Linked DNA regions of Tribolium castaneum. The protein of the gene in region 2 purifies or fractionates together with the protein of the main gene of each other region. This does not show direct contact. Links are inferred from orthologs where the notes say so. Each region holds a gene or a part of one and is shown on either strand. Other genes may lie near its edges.

Region 1 (11,451 bases), on a different chromosome or scaffold from region 2:
GTAATATGTTAGCTTATTTTGTTTAACCAAAAATGCAATCAATTCATAAATTTTCTTCAAAAATAAAACGAAAGTGTTTAAAAATTACTAAAATAAGCCGTTGTTAAGCTACTAATTTTTTCAAGAGTTAGGGTAAGTTTTTAACTTACAACTCTTCTTTTTCTTCGAGATTTTGTTAAATCATCTTATTGTTATTAGATTATTATATCAAATGTTACTTTTTTGACAAGTGTTTTAGGAAATTTTTAGTTAGAATAGCAATTTGGCTTAAATAAACAGTCGGTTATTTTTGTTGTAACTCGTTTTTTACTCTGACACTTAATTATTTTGGGAAATATCGTAAGAAGTTTTTCCAAAAACCACCGAATTGGGTCGAAAACATCATTAACTTAATTTTTTTGGGCGTTTTATCACTTTGTTTTTAATTCAAAACCACTACTATTTTACAATATTTGATAACAATTAATCCAGAAATCACAAAATTTGGTCGAAAATAGTTTAACTGCACTGAAAAAATAAACACTAAATTGTCGATAATTTTTTAACATAACCAGAAAGGCAATTTTGTCGAAAATAAACGGAAAAATTGCAAGATTTTACCAGAGCGAACTGAAAAATCACTAAACTGGTTCGAAATTTACATTATTTTGCAGTTTTACGTAATTTCTTTAACCAAAAATGCAATCAATTCACAAAGTTTCTTCAAAAATAAAACGAAAGTGTTTAAAAATTTCTAAAATAAGCCGTTGTTAACCTACTAATTTTTTCAAGAGTTAGGGTAAGTTTTTAACTTACAACTCTTCTTTTTCTTCGAGATTTTGTTAAATCATCTTATTGTTATTAGATTATTATATCAAATGTTACTTTTTTGACAACGTTTTCAAGTGTTTTAGGAAATTTTTAGTTAGAATAGCAATTTGGCTTAAATAAACAGTCGGTTATTTTTGTTGTAACTCGTTTTTTACTCTGACACTTAATTATTTTGGGAAATATCGTAAGAAGTTTTCTCAAAAACCACCGAATTTGGTCGAAAACATCATTAAACTTTTTTTTTTGGGCGTTTTATCACTTTGTTTTTAATTCAAAACCACCACTATTTTACAATATTTGATAATAATTAACCCAGAAATCACAAAATTTGGACGAAAATAGTTTAACTGAACTGAAAAAAAAAACACTAAATTGTCGATAATTTGTTAACATAACCAGAAAGGCAATTTTGTCGAAAATAAACGGAAAAATTGCAAAATTTTACCAAAGCGAATTGAAAAATCACTAAACTGGTTCGAAATTTACATTATTTTGCAGTTTTCCGTAATATTTTGTTTATTTTGTTTAATCAAAAATGCAATCAATTCACAAATTTTCTTCAAAAATAAAACAAAAGTGTTTAAGAATTTCTAAAATAAGCCGTTGTTAAGCTACTAATTTTTTCAAGAGTTAAGGTAAGTTTTTAACTTACAACTCTTTTTTTTCTTCGAGGTTTTGTTAAATCATATTATTATTATTAGATTATTATATCAAATGTTATTCTTTTGACAACGTTTTCAAGTGTTTTAGTAAATTTTTAGTTAGAATAGCAATTTGGCTTAAATAAACAGTCGGTTATTTTTGTTGTAACTCGTTTTTTACTCTGACACTTAATTATTTTGGAAAATATCGTAAGAAGTTTTCCCAAAAACCACTGAATTGAGTCGAAAACATCATTAACTTAATTTTTTTGGGTTTTTTATCACTTTATTTTTAATTCCAAACAACCACTATTTTACAATATTTGATAATAATTAATCCAGAAATCACAAAATTTGGTCGAAAATAGTTTAACTGCACTGAAAAAATAAACACTAAATTGTCGATAATTTTTTAACATAACCAGAAAGGCAATTTTGTCGAAAATAAACGGAAAAATTGCAAGATTTTACCAAAGCGAACTGAAAAATCACTAAACTGGTTCGAAATTTACATTATTTTGCAGTTTTACGTAATTTGTTTAACCAAAAATGCAATCAATTCACAAATTTTCTTCAAAAATAAAACGAAAGTGTTTAAAAATTTCTAAAATATGCCGTTGTTAAGCTACTAATTTTTTCAAGAGTTAAGGTAAGTTTTTAACTTACAACTCTTTTTTTCTTCGAGATTTTGTTAAATCATATTATTATTATTAGATTATTATATCAAATGTTACTCTTTTGACAATGTTTTCAAGTGTTTTAGGAAATTTTTAGCTAGAATAGCAATTATTTAGCGAAATTGCGTTAAGCATAACCCGAAAAAACACGAATTATTGTTTGCATTTTTCGGCCCTTTCTATAACCATCTATTACATAACGAAAACTTGCTAAGCCCGATTGCAAAATTACAAAAATGATTTTATTTTTTTGTCTTGTAGCCCCTGTTTAGATAAACACTTTAATTATTTCAAGAAATACCGTCAAATTTTTTTTTTCAAAATTATCCAATTAGATCGAAAATGGTTTAACTTTTGCCGTTTGCAAAAAAAACCACTACATTGGTTTCAAAATTTCGTTATTTTTTTTCTTTTTCAAGCATTTCAACGCATTTTTCAACTGTTTTTGGTATTTTTTTTTGAAAGAAATAATGATGTACTGCAGTGAAAATTTGTGAAACCCAGTTATTATTATTATTAAAACAATAAACAATTATTAAATTGTATAGAAATTGACATTATTGTGTAGTTTTTTATTATTAAGAAACAGAATTCGAGGTTTTCATTTCATTATAACACTTAATTAATTATTTCGGAAATATCGTAAAAATAAAATTTACAGTTTTTTTTTGACTGTTTAAACTTGTTTAAACTCTAATTTTGTGCGTTTTTCGATAGATCGAACTAAAAAACTATCTAGTTTTTCATATGTTTGAGCACATAATGTAAATTGAGCATTTTTTCCCACCATTTACGTATGTTTTTGAAATAAAAAATGATGAAGTTTTGCGAAATTATTGTGTCAATCCCGGTTATGAAATCGTCATAATTCGATATTGATATTAATGTTAACACGTTTTATTTATCTAAAAAATGCAAAATTTTGTCAAAAATAACTCAAAATATTTTTTGAAACTTTACAAACTCAAGCCTTTTAGTCACGGAATATTGTGATGAAATTTTTGCTTTTTTTATAATAAGGTAGGTAAGTCTCGGAAGTATTGTTGAATAGAATATTATTTTTTACCTTTTTCAAACGTTTTAGCGTTTTTTCATTCACAGATTAAAAAGTCACCTCTGGCGTAGAACGCGAATTATTTTTTTGCATATTGTGTTCAGTTTAGTAAAAATTCATCTGTTAACCAGGTTTTTTAAAATAAAAAATAAAAAAATAAATAAAAAATTAAAATAAAAGAATAAAAACAGTAAGAGTACAATTTTTTGTAATTTTTTTATTGTGTTTGTTTTAACATTTTTATTTCCAGCTTCTGCGCCTATGCCTCAGGACGGTGAGGTCAACTACAAAGACTGGGTGTTCATCAACTACACGTTCAAGCGGTTCGAAGGTCTGACGCAAAGAGGGACCCCAACAAAAAAATAAACCGCACTTTTATGTGCGCCAACAAATCGGCAGTTAATCGCGCTATAACGAGCACTTATTTTTAGGAAATATCGTGAAAAATCACACCAGAGTGCTTCGATTATGATTTTCTCGTCTTTTCAATAACTGTACCTATCCCGTAGTTATTTTCTAAAAATAAGTAACTTTGTGTATTATAGGTCTGAAGCAGTTTTCACACTGTTTGCTTTGAGCTGTGAGAAGCTACGTATCTTTTGTTGTATTTACACTGATATCTCGTTAACTTGTGTTATTGTAAATATTACGAAAATGACGAATTGTTAGTACAAAATTGTTGCGAAACTACTGCCAATTATTTATGTGATGATGTGTTGCTTCGAGGGCGGGCGGTCCGAGGGATATTTTTGTACCTAATGATTTTTTCCCTATCATTTTAAATACAACAGAAGATTTTTGTGTATATGTTATTTTTTGTTTATTGTTACAAAGTGATACGTTTATTATTTACTTGTTTTTTTATTTATAGACAATGTATTTCTTGATCGCGCGTCAAGAACTATTTTGTATAACTCGTGAAGGACATGAACTAATTACACTTTTTACACCTTCATGATTCTGTCAGTGAGATCATATTTTTGCAATTTTTTATTTCAAGACGAACGAGCGTAGTCTAGTAGGCGGGTTTAGTAATTTTCGTTTAGAGTGACCTGCGACGTTTGACAGGCAGTACCGCCAACTGTGTTTCAAGGTTCATGGCCACTCTGATCATTTTATTAGTTGTTTTGTTCCAAAGAAGCACATATGAACAATTGTTTTTCACTAACCAATTAGATTTTGTGGAAGTGTATGTGTAGTTTTGCAAACATATCGAGCAGTTTTTTGGCTGTTAAACAGTCTGGTGTGTATGTGAGGCAGTTGGTAGACTTGGAAATTTTATAGAAAGTATTAATGTTAAGCTTGTAGCTCTCTATGCACCTTTTTTTTCAAATTCGTTTAACTGGTGCAAATTAGCTAGATTATTTGTCTGATTTGTTATTTATTACATTGGTCTCGCTAACAGGACTTGTACATAATATATTTACTTCCAAAAATGTGTATAACAAAGTTTATTAAACTATGTGCTTTAACCCGTGTTTGGAACTCCCGCCGGCGTGTTGCCAACCTTTGGTAACTTCCCATTCCTTTTATGGTAAATTTTTAATTAATTTGGGGGCCCAATCTAACTAATTGTTACCTAACGGAGCGGGGGACAGTTTTTAGGACGTTACGTTTGATTTAAAATCCTTTAAAACAATTAAAAAATCAACTTTTTTATCCGTTTGGGGAATTTCAAGCGGCACGGTTGGCAACACGTCCAAATATGGCCGTCTGTTGTGTAAAAAAGTGTTTAGTTTTCCTCACCTAATTACCAAAAAAATCCTTATCTTATCAAAGTAATGCGGTAAATAGCTTCCGGATAAGCGACTGAACGCACTCATTATAAATAAAAACCAATTCTCGCGTTTTAAACACCACCCAAGTGAACGCCCATTTGCTGGTACAAGTGCCCCACTTTTGGGCAAATTGCCGAAATGGAGGATATTTTCCAGTGGTGCAGGGACGGGAATGCCCTCCAGGTGCGGGTTTGGCTCGATGACACCGAGCACGACATGAACCAGGGGTGAGTTGTGTCTTTGAGGTTAGTTTAATGGCATTGCCTAATTTGGTCAGTGGTGTGGCCGTGTTGTGTAATAATTGGGTGTGTGTGGGTTTGTTTGGTTTTTACTGATTGGTGATTGTCTTAGGGATGACCATGGGTTCAGTCCGCTGCACTGGGCGGCGAAAAGGGGGCACACGAAGATTGTGGAGATGCTCTTGCTCAGGGGGGCGAGGGTCAATGCCACCAATCGGGGGGACGATACGCCCTTGCATCTGGCGGCTGCACATGGGCACAGGGAGATTGTGCTTATGGTTGGTATTTTATTAATTTATTAATATAAGAGTAATAATAAGTCTGAAGACTTACAAGGTTGTCACTTTATCGTTTGACTTTTTACTAAAAAGAGTTGGAAAAAATTATCATCGTCACGGTTAGGAAAATTAAAAATTATTCCTCAACCATTTTTAGGAATTTTTTTTTATGTGCTTTTATAGAATGTGGGTTTTAACCTACTTTTTTTCAAGCGAATACACTATAAAAGTACAACAAATTGAGACGTAATCCGAGTACACGTTTCTCATTAGAAAGCAGTATTTTTTTATGTATCTAACAACTCAGAATGAGAAGGAAACCAAGGAAAAAGTGAAAAAATTATTGGCAAAAAATAAGAACAATCATTTGCTGAAGTTGAGCTTGCAAAAAATAAACAAAATACTTTAATTTTTTTGTTGTTTCTTCTAAATTAAACTATTATTAGCTCGCAATTTATTTAATAGTTATCTTATGTTAACAATAAACTGGTTAAAAAAATTTGTATTTTTTTTACTGAAAGTACTTAAACCTTCAAATAACATGCAAAATAAAATAACAGAAACCTTCTATTCCTATTAAATAAACAAGTCATCAATTTTTTGATTTATGTGTGATTATTTTTTAATCAATTGTACCTACCAAAAAAATAAAGAAATAAAAAGATAAATTAGTAAGTTGTGTAAAGTTATTTTGCAATTACTGATTTTTAGTTTTAAGTAGCGTTGTTTGTTTTATAGTAATGTTTAATGTGTTATTGAAGGTCCTAATAATTTTTCTCAATGATACTAAATTAGAATTTACAGTTGTCGCTCAATAAAAAATGCCTTTTACTACCTCTCCATATAAATACAATCTTTGATACTGAATTCATAAAACAATAATAAAAATAATAAATAAATTAAAATATGTAATTACTGATAAGTACATCGTTTTACAACTCATTAATTATTTAATAATAATAATAATAATATTATTATTTAATAATAAATGGTATCGATTTTATAGATGTTAACTTGTTTTCTTGAAAAACTTGTAGCAGAAAAATCATTTAAATTCGGATTGTAGAAATTTTGGGATTTTTAGAAAATTATAAAAAACAAAAACACTACGTGGAAGTGACAATAAATGTTTTTTACGAAAGTGTTTTTGGCTCTAAAATAAATCATTTTATTATTATCCGAAAACTTTTGATTAAAAATTATGAAGCTTCGTCTCTCTTAATTTTAAATGAGTTATTCTAGATATGTACTTACTTATGATCATAATCAACAAAAGTGATGAAAAAATTTTTCGATTATAATAAATTAAATGTTGAAATCAGCTGTTCCAGTTCTATTTTTTTATTTTTAATAAAATAATTTAATTACATTTTTCTGAACTTCTCATAATTCGTCATTTTAAAAATGTTTATTATGTTGATCGATTTTGTCAACTTTTTGAATAAAACGCCAATTGTCCATTTAATAAATCTAGTCTGATAATGGACAAATGTTGGGAGCTATTTATTTTTATTTGTTTTTTTTTATTTTAATTTTAATTATCTGAAAATTCTCGTGTAGATTGAAATACTCAGCACTTTTCCTAAAATACTGTTAACAAGATATAAACAAGGTCGGAAAAAATAGTCGACTACCGACTCAGGCACAATAATATCTTAAAAAAAAATTGGAAAATTAATTTTATGTAATACTTGAAACCTAGCATTTTTTGTTTAAAAGCCAATGTGTAGTGGTAATCCTCTTAAAAAAACAGCAATTTACGATGAAATCAACATTAGTTTTTTTACAAAGAATGTTTTAAAGAAACAATTTGCATCTATTGTTTAAATTGTTTATTTCATTCTATGCACCATAATATACAGAAAATAGTGTACTTTAATCAGGAATTCCACTCCAAATCATAAACATTTAGCTATTTGTATATCTATTACTAGTCAAGTCAAGCTATATTTCAAAACTACTATTTTTTTTGTTTTCCCATGACTTTGTTTAACTTGGAATCAAATTTATTTTCGTCATGGACATACTTTAAAAAAAATATGTTTATAAACATACTTGAAATTTTCTTAAATTGTATTTGACAATTTTTTTTACTAGTTCGGTCTATTTCTTTCGTACTGCGAGTGACGTTTTTTGTTTTTATCTTTTGGAGCGCATTTTTTTCACTAAACAATGAACAAATTTTTTTACATTAGGAGTGAAATAAATGGTAATTTAAAGGATTTTAAAAGAAAAAAAAATGAATATAAATATTTTCATTGTTATTTTTTTATTATTAAATAATAAATAAATAAAAAAAATTATTTATTTTTTTATTAAATTATTTTTTGATTCAGGCAATGTTGATCTCAAACTTCGAACTTGTAACTCTTAATTTATGCAGGATAATTTTTTAAAAGAAGGCACTTATTTATCTTAGAAAATAATGGAATTTGAAAATTTCGACAGAGGTCGATTTTGACTTTTTTTACTGGGCAGTTTTCTAAAACTAATTAGACTAGTTTTAAAACGCATATGTGGTAAATAAAAACAGTTTCCAACACTTTCAGCAAACTTAATGCTTTCACTATTTCAAATATTTTCATCTAAAAAAAGATTCTAATTGTCTAACGTTGACCTTCCAAATAAATTTTATAAATTTTTTAATTTGTAGAGCTGTTCTTCCATTTTTGGAGAACTTATGCTAAAACTGTGACTTAATAATGTTTAATAAAAACCAATTAAATCTTAAAATATCATCTTAATTTCTAAACAACTCATTTTTTTATAGTTATTACGTCAAAGAGCTGACGTAAATTTCACAAACGAACACGGCAACACTCCTTTACACTACGCCTGTTTTTGGGGATACAGAGAAATTGCCGAAGATTTGGTCCATCATGACGCCAAAGTCTCTCTTGCTAACAAATATGGAGACACTCCACTTGACAAAGCAAGAGGTAAATTGAACTCTTACTCAACAAAACAAAATAATTTTTCGACGACTTCATTTTTTTCTAATCGTACAAAAAATTTGCACATTTGTAATATATTTTTAGTTGTGGAAGTTAGTCACTGTCTTCAACCACCTATGGAAAAAACTTTCTCTATTTAGAATTTAATATTATTAGAAAAATTACAGTGTTCAACTCGTGAGAATTTTGCGACTCGAGCCGAAGGCGAGTGAAGTAATGCATCCGTGCCATGTGATATATATATTATATATCAGGGATGCGTAATCGGTCTATAATTTTTTTGTTATGCGAAATATTATCATGCCGTTTTTCCTATTCGACTTAAAGTCCACAAACTGAAAATATTTTTATTGTACACAGGTGTTGTATACAGGGTGGTGAACTAAAGTTATATGTTTTTAAATGGAACACTCTATATATCTTTGCATGATTAGATTCTACGCAAGAAAATAATCTAACTTTATACAAACTATTATGGGTCTATCTCTTTTCGTTTCGAAATTATTCAACTTTTCGTTATCAAAAAGACCAATTTTTGAAAAATCGCTGCAAAGTCGCCTGTGAATGTTTTTCGGCAAATTTGCAACAGAAAAATTCTGAATACCTTGTAGTTTTAGGAAATAGTCGACTTTTACTTGAAACACGGAAATAATGTACAGAGTATGCCAAAACGCAAAAAGTTGAATAACTAATTTTTTTTAATGGAACACCATGTATTTCTTTACATGTGTCGATTACATTTTTCATAAGCTTTCTATTGATATACGGTTTTTATAGCAAATTTACAATATTTCCTAAAGTGTTCAAAAAAATAAAAAATATTTTTTTTATTTATTTTATTAATAATTCTTAATGAGTGAAATTTATTTATGTATCAGGTAATAATTAGATTACTTGTGTAATTAGTCACATTAGTACATGTCAAAAAATTAATTACTATTTGACTATCAAAGTTTAGGCTAACAAATTTTCTTGTAATAAAATATATTTTTTTGAACAGTTTCGAAAAATATTTTAAATTTGCTATGCAAACCCTATACCGTTAGAAAGCTTATCAAAAATGCTTTCGATACATTTAATAAAATACAGGATGTTCCATTTGAAAAAAATGAGTTATTTAACTTCTTGCATTTTGGTACAACCTGTATATTATCTGCGTGCTTTAACTAAAAGTTGTCTATTTACTAAAACTACAAGGTATTCTGAATTTTTCTGTTGCAAATTTATCGGAAAATATTCATAAGCGACTTCGCAGTGATTTTTCAAAAATTGGTCTTTTTTATAACTCATAAATATCTCCTACTTTTACGGAATATTTAAATTTGATTGTAACGAAGTCGTCGAAAAAACCATGTGTACAAATATCTATTTTTTTATGTAATAATCACAGGCAATTTGGCGAAAATCCTCCACGACATGGCGGTCGAATCCGGGCAAGACCTCAAAAAGATCATCTTCAAAGACCAAAGTTGGCTGGGCCTGAAAACCCGCTCACGTGACGCCACCCTCTCCCGTCACAAAGGCATCAACATTAAAGAATTACACCAACGTGAAGAAATCGCCTCAACACCCAGTGGCGTAACATACAGAGGAACATGGCAGAAAAATGACGTTGTTGCTAAAATCTTAAACATTCGCGAGGTTACATCGCGAATATCGCGCGATTTTAACGAAGAATTTCCGAAATTGCGAATTTTCTCGCACCCTAATATCCTCCCAGTGATTGGTTGTTGCAACAGTCCGCCATATTTGATCGTCATCAGTCAATATATGCCACTCGGATCGCTTTACAATGTTTTGCACGAAAGCAGCGGAATTGTGGTTGATAATGCGCAAGCGTTGCGATTTGCTGTTGATATTGCACGAGGCATGGCCTACTTGCATAGTCTTGAGCGTATTATTCCAGAATATCGTCTGAATAGTCGTCACGTGATCATTGAGGATGATTTGACGGCGAGAATCAACATGGCCGATGCTAAATTCTCCTTCCAGGTAGGCTTGCTAGATCTATTTTTGATAGCAATTTAATGGAAGAATTTTTTAAACTGAAGTTTTATTTCTTACAAATTTATTGGCGCAATCGGTAGTAACTTTATACGTTTTAACTTCGTGTAATTACAATGAAAAAGTAGAAAGGCAGGACCTTTTCAAAATAATACTCATAAATAGTAATAAACTTGTGTAATTTGAAGAAGTTGAAGTAAATCGTAATTTTTCATTAATTTAAAGCTGAAACTCCTTTGATCCTCTTTTAATTCAAGATATCATAATAACAAATTTTTTCTACAGCCGTCAAAAAATCGTGACATTTATGCATGGTTACCTATGCGCGAAGTTTGACGTTTTTTCACTGTGAAAAAATATTATTTTTTCACGGTTTCACAGTGAAAAAATAATATTTTTTAACTGTGCAGGCAACTCGATTTTTCAGATCATTTTGTTCCAACTTATTTCTGTTACAATTTTAGTAACACGAAAAGACATCAACAGCAACCGAAATGAAGAGACGGATCGATAATGAGAGGTAGTTTTAAAGGTTTTATAATTATACAGAACAATATTACAAAACAATAATAATAGATATTTACTTTGACATATGAAAATTAAATGTGCATGACGAAAACGTGCCCCCGTTTATCCTTTCAACATCGCATAAAGGGCCCAGAGTGTTGGTGGCTTTAAGGTGGTAGACTTTTCTTCCAAATACGCCAACAAAACATTTTCCGTTACTTGATCAATCTTTTTCATAGAACACCACTGCCGAAACTGAAGATACGTTTTTTCGTACTGCGGTCTTGATTTAGCAGGCAAAAGATTCGACACTGCCGCGCTTGCAATTGCATCTATTTCGTTTTCGCTGCTAAAATCCATCACACTTCTTCAACAAAAATACCTATTGTGACAAATTTTTCGCAACTATCACTTTTATTTATCATCGTAACCATGCAAGCAACTCGATTTATCAGACCATTTTGTTCCAACTAATTTCTGTTACTTTTTTCTTCATCTGGAGGCTGTAG
Region 2 (10,578 bases):
TTTTTCTCCTTATAACATAATCTATTATTATTATTATTATTAAATTTTAAGACAGTTAAATATTAGCGAAAGCATTGATTAAAAAATCCAAATTAAAATAGCGAATGCTATTTTAATAATTTTCAATTATGGAAATGATTAAGCAACCACATTTAGTGATAAGAAATGACCTCCCCCTTATCACTATTGACCAACCACGATTGCGTCAAATCGGTCACTTACCTGAGTGCTATCTAGAGGAACAGCCACAGCCGCTCCCGCTGGCGATACGTGTTTAAAACTCGTAGCTGCCGGGAGCCCCAAACCCGCCTTAAGTTCCTTAACCAACTGCCATCCATTGAGGGCATCACACAAGTTAATAAAACCGGGGGCTCCGTTCACTACTGTTAACGGTAGTTTGGATAAAGTAGTAAAAATTTGCGCCGGTTTTTGGTGCGGATTCATGCCATAACGCAACGTAAGTTGCGAAACTCCGGCCGAATACTGTTTTCTGAAATAGTCTGTAATGGCTAGGTCATAGTCTGAGGTGTGTGTGAAGGCCTTAAGAGCCAGAGTTTGACTAAAATGTGAAAATTAGTCTCGGGTTGGTTTATTTTCGGTGATTGGTTACCGAGTCTGAGCTGTGGTGTCTTTATTGGGGGTGCTACGCATTTCTGTGATGATTTTATCGTAGTCTGAAGGGTCACAGACTACGGTGACTCTTGAGTGGTTTTTGGCGGCGGCTCTGAGCAGAGTAACGCCGCCAATGTCGATGTTTTCAACAGCATCGGCGATTGTAACATTTGGGTTTGAAACTGTTTCAACGAATGGATACAAGTTACAAACCACGACTCGGATCATATCGATTTTTTGTCTCTTCAAATCCTCCTGATCTGAGGGGATAAGTCTGAAGAACAATTGATTAATTTTAAGAGTTGGGGTTATGGGGTAAAATACCTAGCTAAAATCCCTCCGTGCACTGCCGGATGCAGCGTCTTCACCCTTCCTCCCAGTATCTCAGGAGCTCCAGAAATCTCTGAGACATCCTTAACAGCGAGCCCCGCCTCCCTGAGACTCTTCGCAGTACCACCACTTGCCACAAGGGTAAAACCCAAATCTTTAAGGTTTTTCCCGAGGGATATGAGACCGGTTTTGTTGGAAACCGACAAAAGAGCTAGAATTGGGAGCATTTGAGGTGTAAGGTTAGAGCAAACACGTGGTTAACTTACCCAAATTACCACCTGTTGCCATCTCTGAAAAACAAGACTGGATTACACTGCCTAGTAATACGAAGTGGAAGAGTTATTGGGAAATAAGTGCTTTTTAAATCCACTGGGGGGCTATTATTGATTAATAAAGGTCACGGCAGTTTATCAATGAAAAACATGTTTGCTGCGTTTCGATTATCAAAGATGACGAAAAGATGTCTTGTAATATTCTAATAGATAAGGAGTGAGAACAGAGGGGTACGTACCTTAAAATACACGCAAATAAGCTGGAGGGAACAAGACGAACAAAAGAAGAGAAAGACGAAGGAATAAGTGGTACCCACGTGGTACCGGTGAACTTAATTGTTTAAATTGGTCGCTAAATGTGGATGTTTACAGCTGATTTAAGGCGGGGAGAAAGAGAACAGCAAATAAAGTTATTCCGTATAATTTAACAATGAATTTTATTTAAAAACGAAGTTGGAAAGTTGCCCTAATTTGTGGAATTTTCATATATCTACAAAAATTAACTGGTCTATCATCAAATAATATTGGTTTTATAAAAAGTCGTTACTAATGATAATGAGTAATCAGTTCCCTATCTAGAGCTGCAGAAAGATAAAATATTTATATTGAAAATTCCATATGGTCTCGTTGAGAATATTAAACTCAAGTCTGTGAGATAATACTAAAACAACAAAATTAAACTTGCGGCTCGATAAATATCGGTTTTTAGTTTCTGTCCTCTATTTACATATTAATGACGAAGAAACAGTCTATTAAGAGTATTTCAGTACAGGGACCTGTACTATTGGTAAACTTCATGGTCAAAATGCTTTACATCTTCTCTAAGTTATTAGCCATTAAAGTGTAAATTGTTTATGTACAATTGATGCACTGAGGAAAAGTTTGCAACCACTTTTATTGGCTTAAAATGAATATAACAATACTCTATTTATTCCATAGCCATATTTTACAAGAGGCATTTAAATATCATAAATCCTAGTCTAAATATGTACAATCACAAAAAGTCTACTGTTCCTTCTTGGTATCCTCATTAAAACGGCGATGCCATTCGATATTTTGTTGGGCGACACTTTCACCCCTTTGTGCTGCTTGTTTGCCCAAATAAACCATACCAAGACACGCTAAAGCTGTTGCAGCCATCATGTAATTGGCGATCCTGATACGCATTCTATTCCTAGCCCGTTCCACAACATTTTGCCTAAAAAATAACAATAACTAGCCTTTTTTAAGGTAGGTACCAACAGGGTACTACTAGAGCGACTCTAGTGCCATCTGAAGACACATTTGGTAACTAATTTAAGTAATGTGATTATTGCAATATTGCAGACGTTATCAAGCACTTTAACTCGTGATTAAACTTACGCTACATAAGCAGGCACTTCCTCAACAGTCTTGTATTTACCAGTCCATACTAAAAATTTCTTTTCCAAATTGTTAACCCTGTGACCTGTACCAGCATATTTTGAGGAGTCTGAGTGTTCTTTTCTCACACCGTAAACATTATTATTTTGGGAACTTAACAATATATGTTGAGTCTTTATTAATAAAGTGTTGAGTATTGAATTCATCCTGTAAAGTCGCAAAAATGTGTTATTCAACTTGGCTTACATAACACTATTTACAAACCTTTAATTTGTGAAATCTCATGCACTGAGGAACACTTGTAGCAAAAAATCTGATCGGAATAAACACTTCGACCCCTGACAGTGTCAAAATTGTCAAAAATGACGCACTAAACGTGTGCTCATGATCGAAGCGCACTTTGCAAAATTTCAAATGAATTGTAATTCGAGGACAAGCATTTATAAGCGGTTTGGTTGTGTATACGTGCAAAAGTAAGCATAGGTGTGCTCCTGTTTCTCTGCACGTTTCCTCTGCTGCGGTTCATTACTTCACAAAATGAGGTCAAGGCAAAACCGTTTACTTACCATGTTGAACTTTTTGAAAGTGGCGCTTTAAGGGCGCTAGCTGATTGGCCGCTTATTGCACCACCTTTTGCAAACAAATGAAAGCGCGCGTGCGCGGCCATTTTGCGCTTTATCGTTGTTATCGGCGTTTCTCCGATTCCAAAATTGCCAAAAAAATCACAAAATAGACGAGTTTTTAGGTGTGAGTCGTTGGTAAAAGCAAAAAGGCGTTCGTGAGTGAATTTGAGACAGTTTTCTTGGTGGGAAAACAACGCATTTGGGTCAAGATGGTTTCAAACGCTAAACGTATGAAATACGTTTCGGAAAACGACTATTCCTCGTCAGATGGGGAAAATGTTGACGATGGGGACTTTTCTCAACACAACAGAAGAGTAAGTCCAACGCGTTTACGCAAAATTGGGCGTGGGAGTAATGAATTTTTGGGTTTCCAGATGGGTGGGCGTAGGACCAAGGGGCTGTCACGGAACGCGATAATGGCCCGCGAAAATCGCCTTAAAAAGAAAATCTACATCACAAATCTTGAAAAAGAAGTTGGGCATTTGAAAACCGAGAATGCTAATTATTCCAAAGTGATTGAAAGTCAGTCGTTGCTTATCGCTGATTTAAAGAAAGAAATCAAATACTTGAAAAGTGTGATTGCAAATAGTGCAGATATTGGCAATTTGATAAAAAATATCCACCACAGTACAGGTATGTCAGTCACAACATCCTTGGATCAGAGTTTATCTTTGAATGTTTCAAAGCCAAAGCAAGCTATAGCTAGAAAAACAGCACACCCATGGGAGGAAAAACGTTACCCGAGTTTTCCCACACCTGAATCAGATTTTCTCTCAAGTCCACACTCTGAAAGTGGATTGAATGATTTTACTGACGATCTGTTCAATAATATTGAACTTGATGATTTTATGGGGGTCACTGATACGATTCTAGACCCTGTTTCGAATGAAACGAGTGAGGAGAACTTGCATTTAAAAGAGCACAATTATACTACGAATGAAGACGAAGACGATGTTGGAGTATGTTTACACGTTTCAAGACACAAGGTCTCGCTAGAGTTTTGCGCCACCTGCAGCGAAAACGCCCAACAAGCCTGGAACGACTGAATTAATTTAAAATGTCTGTATCTAAGTATACTTTGTTGTCTATGTATAGTCAAACTCTTTCCTTGCACTTAGGATTAAATGTTATTGTTACTAGCTAGTTTTGTGGAATTCTGGAGTATTATTGTTTTTTTAAATTTTCAGGACCTTCACGGATTGGAGATTGTAGCTTCAGAAGGATTTGCAGTCCACCTTCTGAAACAAAAGGTGCGGTAGCGTCCAATTTTGGTAAATCCCAACTTCTGAGCATTTTTATTATTAGTGAGGAATCAGAATTTGGGATTGTCATTTGTTTTTGTTGAATTGTTATTTTCACGCTTTGGTCTGATTTCAGTCAAAGACGCAGTCAAGTCACTTCAGGGCTGTAACAATGACTGGAATAAGTAGAGTAACAAATGTATCGTTCCATGTTATCATATACACAATATTTCGTTCTAGAAATCGTATATTTTTTCTATTTGTTCAACTTCTACTAAACAAGTATGTTTTTGAGTTTCAGCACATAGCGCAGAGTCCAGGGCCGGGCCGCATTCCGGATTATTATAAGTTTTTTTATTTAATATTAGGTAATAGGTAGGTAGTGTAAGGAAAGGGTCAAATAAACTTTTGTATTTATGTTCCAACTGTCTTTATTCTACTTCCTTCCATTAATTAGCACAAACGTGTTTGTTAATCCAATTAGCTCACTGCACGTAACAAAAACTTGGCAAGTGTCCAGTCAGACCACTGGCAAGTGAAAAAGTTCACTTCGAGCGTGGCTTTCAACGTGGTCAGTTGCTTTTTAAATTTGACGGGCTTTTCGTGCGCGCGCAATGAATCAAGCACCAGTTTCGTGCCTTCCAAACACAAGCAAAATGTCTAAGGCTAAAAAGGTTTTAGACGAAGCTCGGGAAATAAGAAATCTCGAAATTGATTTGGCCGATAAGGCCATTTCTTCGTTCGAAGAAACACCAGGTTTACGTAAGTGGAATCACTCCTCGGCAAGGTTTTACCTAATTTGGTATCTTGTTCCACCTGGGTGGGCGTGGCCCAAAATTAACTAACATTCCCAAGAAAAATAAATAAATAATAATACAATTTTTTATCTCTAATAATGGGGAATAAGTTTTACTACATAGATAATAAGATAAATAGAATTATTAATAGAACACGGAACTGATTGATTTATTTTTTAGTTAATATGACTTACATTACCAGGCTTACGCTAAGCCACAACAAGATCAAATGTAAGTGGGTGCTTCCGCCCTTGGGCCGTAAACTAAAAACCCTTTTTAGCCGTACCGCCGGCTCTTGCAAACTTGACGAACCTCGAAATTTTGAACTTAACAAACAACCACATTGAGGAACTCCCCCTTTCTTTATCATCAATGCCAAAGTTACGAATTCTCAACTTGGCAATCAATCGTCTTTATAATCTTCCTCGCGGCTTTGGCGCCTTTCCAGTTCTTGAAGTTCTCGATCTGACTTACAACAATTTGAACGAAAAATCACTCCCAGGAAATTTCTTCATGATGGGTAATTTACAATTGGTTCCCTCCAAATGATTAATTTTTGATCTAGAAACGTTACGAGCCCTGTATTTGGGCGACAACGACTTTGAGTACCTACCTCCCGAGGTGAAAAATCTCAAAAACTTGCAGATTGTAAGCAAATATTTGACGTTATGTTATTTGAGGTGGGAATAACGGGGTGTTTCAGTTGGTTTTGAGGGAAAACGATTTGATTGAGTTACCAAGAGAGTTGGGGGAGCTGACGAGACTGCGTGAGCTCCATGTGCAAGGAAATCGCCTCACGATACTGCCCCCTGAACTCGGGAATCTCGACATGACGTCGAATAAGTCTGTTTTTAGGTTTGAAGGCAATGAATGGGTGGCTCCTATCGCGGATCAGTTGCAACTAGGAGTCGGGCATTTGATGGAATATTTGCGCTCAGAGGCTTACAGAATGTACGTTTTATAAAACTTTAATTTAGTTTAACGTTTGTTTTTCAGAACGTACAATCGCTACTCGACTAATAAACCACAAGTTCCACCACCTTGCGTCGACAAAGCGAAAAAAATATCGCGAATACGTTGAACTCGTGCCTTTTTTTACCTAATTAATTGACTAATTAACTAAAACGAAAAATACTGCCATTATACTAATTACGTTTTTTTTTATTTGATTTTTGTGGCCTTGGATGTACCAGCTTTAAGTAAAAATTAATTGTATTTTACAGTTTTTACAATAATGCAAATAAGTAAATAAATAATTAACGAAATTGTCAGTCTTAAAAACACTGCTCATCCTCCGTATATTCACTCTCATCGTCCGTTAAATCCGTCGTGTGGATCGACGTTTCGTACTCTAGAATTTCCTCATCACTCAAATGCGAATTGCCTTCCATAAACGACGCAAATCTGAAAAAAAACTTAGATGGCGCCACTTGTGCTAACTTGACCATAGACAGTAACCTATAGAACTCCTACGTATTTTTTGGAAACGCACGGAAAAAAAACGAAATTAAAAAAATTCTCTGTTGACTAATAGTCACAAATAATAAATTCATTAGATTATGAGAATTTGCAGCGTGCAAAGTTGTTATAAAATATCCTGGACATTTTGTGGAGTGGATTAAAAAGACGGGTAACAAGCTGTTATCAACTTTTTCTTAATCAGAAAGTGTATAAATAGCTACGCTGTCTGTTGACTTCATTTTACCAGCGTTGGGCAAAAGTGTGGACCCAAGCGTTTTTGCTTAAATTATGTGCCTTTCGAAAAAAAAAAAAACATCAAGTACTTTAAAAATGTGACCATTTTCTAAGAATAATTTTTTTTGAAATCCTCTCTAGTTTATCAAAAAAAAATCGCCGTACTAGGGTACCTTCCATTGTGGCACGAATGGTTTTGGAGCACGACGGAGTTGCACAAAAGTTCTCTTTGTGATACTACTTTCAGTTTCATTATGAACAATTTGTGAAACCTAAATTAGGTACTTTTAAATAAAATAAATAAAAAGCCAGGATATCTAGTTGGCTGCGTCTTATTTTTCACCTACCACAAAAGGGCACAAAAATCTATGAGACTAAGCGTTCTATAGTTTACCCTCTTGTCTAAGAACTTGACCCACCTTTTGACATCTTTCAATTTCATAGCAACTTGCCACTGCTTACACTCAGGACTTGAGCAATATTTCCTCAAATCCTCCAACGCTTTCGTTGTTTCCCTAACTCCCTGCTCGTAATACTCGTCGTTAGTTAGTGGTTTAATTTTCGGCGGAAATCGTTTTTTCCTTGAAAAATACGAAACATAACAATGAAACAATTAGCTCACAACTTACGTTTTTTATACAACAAATTTTGAAAACAAAAATTCTTACCAGTATGTTTTCGGTTTTAAAAGCCACGTTGATGGCACGTTGTGGAAGAGTAAAAGGGCAACGATTTGACCCATTGCCGCCTCCTGGAATTGGGTGCTGAAAAAAATTGCAATAAGACCAGCCCCTTGCAGGGCCCATCGGATCAAATTGCGGCTTCTCTCGTTCTCTATGGGGCCCCATCTGTAGCAAACTAACCACAAAATAATTTCAGGTGCAAAAAATACAGTAACGTACTTATGAAACTGATAAAACCAGTTATTAGAGTGTACCACACAACGTAGGATTTGTAATTTAGTAAAATGACACGGACGTTGTCCCACAAAAGTTGCAAAAGGTAGATTCCGACCGTCCATCCAAACGCAGCCACTCCGTACATTATTGGTTTCTGAAATTTGACTTGGAACAGAAAAAATTAAAATTTAGAATATTACCCTCGGGAAAAGTCTGCTAATTAAATAAATGAGAATCAGGAACGAAGTACAAATTCCGAGTGAAATGCCACAAATGTAATAAAACAGGGTGTTTCTGCTCAGTCTGTTTGCTGTAAGAAAGAGGGAAATGCCCCCCAGTAGAAGAAGCACTTTCCAGTAATCTATTCCTACGGAAAAAATTAGATTTTGTTACAAACACTTTGTCCGTCCTTACTGATTACATTTAGGGTCACTGTGTAGCTCTCCCTGCTGTCTATTCCAATACAGCTCTCATTGAATGGGTCCAAATGCATTTGCTTCTGCTTATTTGTAAATAAATTTAAATTCCAACTGTACCTATTGGCATTGAATTCTTCCATAACGGCATCAGGGGACGGACCGTCATATTGAGTATAATCACCGGATTTATGATCCAACTGGAGCTGTACAAAACTTTAGACTAACTTATACCACAAACCTGTTTTTTGTACCATAACACTTTGCCAAATGTGTATCAAATACTTGGGCTTGCCCGCGTAGCAAAAAATATGAAACTCTGGGGGCATCCTTTGCACCCCAGCTGAGAACTTCTCCCCCTGATGCAAGTAATGAACTAAAAATTACAAAACGTTAAGACATAACCTACAACTTGTGCACATACCATTGAAGGCCCGACCCGCGGAAGCGGCCGTGAGAACCAAAAAGACTAAAGTAATAAAGTGCATTTTACGTATAAATTTGAAAATTCGTGAACTACAATGAAATAATTTTGTATTTTGAGTTTCCGTTACATTTTTTGTTTGACAGTTTCTAAGAAGTTAGCAACCCGTCAAACTCCAACAAGGTGGGAAGATGCGTCTTGGGTGTGCTAGAGAGAAGTGGCGGTTTTTGGCGCGCTTGGTTCAAATTTGAATAAAGTGAGGTTATGAGCCGTTCGTAAAAAATTAATGAGTGAATTCATCGTGATACAAGGTAAGCCACTTGTGAGACTAATTTGTGGTTCAATTGTCACGTCCAGTCGGGCAATGTGGCAACCAAATCGGCAGTTTTCTCCTCCCGGAAATCCTCCAAGAGTATGGGGTCAAGACAACGACCGACTCCCCAGCCAAACCCAAACGAAACAAAGCGGAATTGCAGCAGTTCATGTCGAGTTTCTTCAACATGGGTCCAACGAACACAACAATTGAGACATTGAGCGACTTGTTGAAAAGTAAAGCCAAAGCGAGAGTGAGTTGTTGTCTCGAATTGTCTTCAATCTCATGTTAGTTTTTATGTATCGACATGGAGGACAGTGTGGTTGCCAGGTTCAAGTCGGGGCGATTTCGCGACTTATTCGACAGCAAATCTCTGATAACGCATTATCCCGGTTCTGGGAACAACTGGGCTGAAGGCTACTGCAGTCACGGCCCCAAATTCAAGCAAAAAATCCTCAAGGCGATCCAATACAACGTCGAGAAATGTGACCATTTGCACGGGTTTTTGGTTTTATTTTCAATGGGGGGTGGCACGGGCTCGGGGCTGGGGACTTTCATTGTGAAACTGCTTGCAGATTTCTTTCCACACATCGACCGGTAAGTGATAAAAAATCAAATTTTTATTGACCAAAAATTAGGTTCGTAGCGTGTGTGTACCCCACAGGCACTGAAGACGTGATTACGGGCCCCTATAACATGGCTTTCGCCACGGAACAACTGCTGGAAAGTGCCACTTGTGTGTTTCCCGTTGAAAATCGGGCACTTCTGGACATTGCTTTAAGACACACGGGGCGGTACAGTGCTAAAAATAAAACGTATTTCTCTCCATTTAGGCCGTTTGAAGACATGAACAAGATAATCGTTGATATGATTTTGCATCTCACGAGTGGCTCGAGATTTGGGGGGAAAATGAACATTGATATGAATGAGATTAATACGAATATGGTGCCTTTCCCCAAATTAATTTTTTTAGCGAGTGGATACAGCCCGTTTAGACTGAAAAATTTTAACTCAAGCGCACACAGGTACTTTTTCTTTCGGTTATTCATTACATAATACGCTTGTTTCAGTGATCAATTAAAAAACGAACTGTTTTTAGCATCGTGTAGTAGAAACAATCAGCTATTAAAAGTCGATCCGTTTGGTAGGTTTGGCGTGTAAATATTTTTTTCTACAGCAAATGTTAAAGTATCTCTTTATTAACTCTTTTGAGTAGATAAAATAGCACTTTAACTAGATAATATGTTTTAAATTTATTTATTCAATTAAATTTACATATACCATCGTTTTAATTTGAACTTTTTTCTCCTAAACTTAGTCTTGCTTACGGACCTGCTGTTGGAAAAAATGTATAATATACTTTGGTTTGATTTCACAAATTGTTCACTGTGAAACTGAAGGTTTTTTTAATCGTAGCACAGTTTGCGCTAAAGTTCTTTGGTGGTTTTGTGATAAATATTCTGAGACTCTCTGTTTGTTTTTGTTTTGAACCGAAAAAATATAAATATTAATAATAATTAAAAAACACTTACTTTTAAATAAAAATCACATTTAACTGCTCGGTATTTAAGTAATAATAATCATAAAGCAAACG

What was found.
Region 1: the proteins of ics (region 2) and Ilk purify together in Homo sapiens (affinity purification with mass spectrometry; 9 studies listed by BioGRID and IntAct, counting the BioPlex papers as one, with this or other methods). This does not show direct contact. The link is inferred for Tribolium castaneum from reciprocal best matches to the Homo sapiens genes RSU1 and ILK.

The regions. Positions count from the first base shown.
Region 1 is NC_087394.1:5,462,588-5,474,038, forward strand, and holds the start of Ilk (integrin-linked protein kinase), read left to right. Parts: upstream 1-4,845; 5' UTR 4,846-5,098; coding exon 5,099-5,187; coding exon of another isoform or gene 5,188-5,191; exon of another isoform or gene 5,192-5,205; intron 5,206-5,311; coding exon 5,312-5,477; intron 5,478-8,247; coding exon 8,248-8,416; intron 8,417-9,821; coding exon 9,822-10,423; intron 10,424-11,451. Other genes in the region: trc (serine/threonine-protein kinase tricornered), read left to right, coding at 3,433-3,548. UniProt on the Homo sapiens protein: Scaffold protein which mediates protein-protein interactions during a range of cellular events including focal adhesion assembly, cell adhesion and cell migration.
Region 2 is NC_087397.1:10,351,423-10,362,000, reverse strand, and holds ics (ras suppressor protein 1), read left to right. Parts: upstream 1-4,981; 5' UTR 4,982-5,054; coding exon 5,055-5,202; intron 5,203-5,417; coding exon 5,418-5,468; intron 5,469-5,517; coding exon 5,518-5,757; intron 5,758-5,802; coding exon 5,803-5,885; intron 5,886-5,940; coding exon 5,941-6,188; intron 6,189-6,233; coding exon 6,234-6,318; 3' UTR 6,319-6,502; downstream 6,503-10,578. Other genes in the region: bifunctional purine biosynthesis protein ATIC, read right to left, coding at 223-559, 611-886, 937-1,153, 1,209-1,230; UPF0389 protein CG9231, read right to left, coding at 2,220-2,412, 2,577-2,782; uncharacterized protein LOC103315046, read left to right, coding at 3,409-3,513, 3,574-4,245; Nemp (nuclear envelope integral membrane protein), read right to left, coding at 6,512-6,641, 7,352-7,513, 7,601-7,790, 7,835-7,985, 8,032-8,198, 8,246-8,453, 8,502-8,623, 8,672-8,735; tubulin epsilon chain, read left to right, coding at 8,958-8,982, 9,029-9,237, 9,277-9,581, 9,623-10,009, 10,055-10,128. UniProt on the Homo sapiens protein: Potentially plays a role in the Ras signal transduction pathway. Capable of suppressing v-Ras transformation in vitro.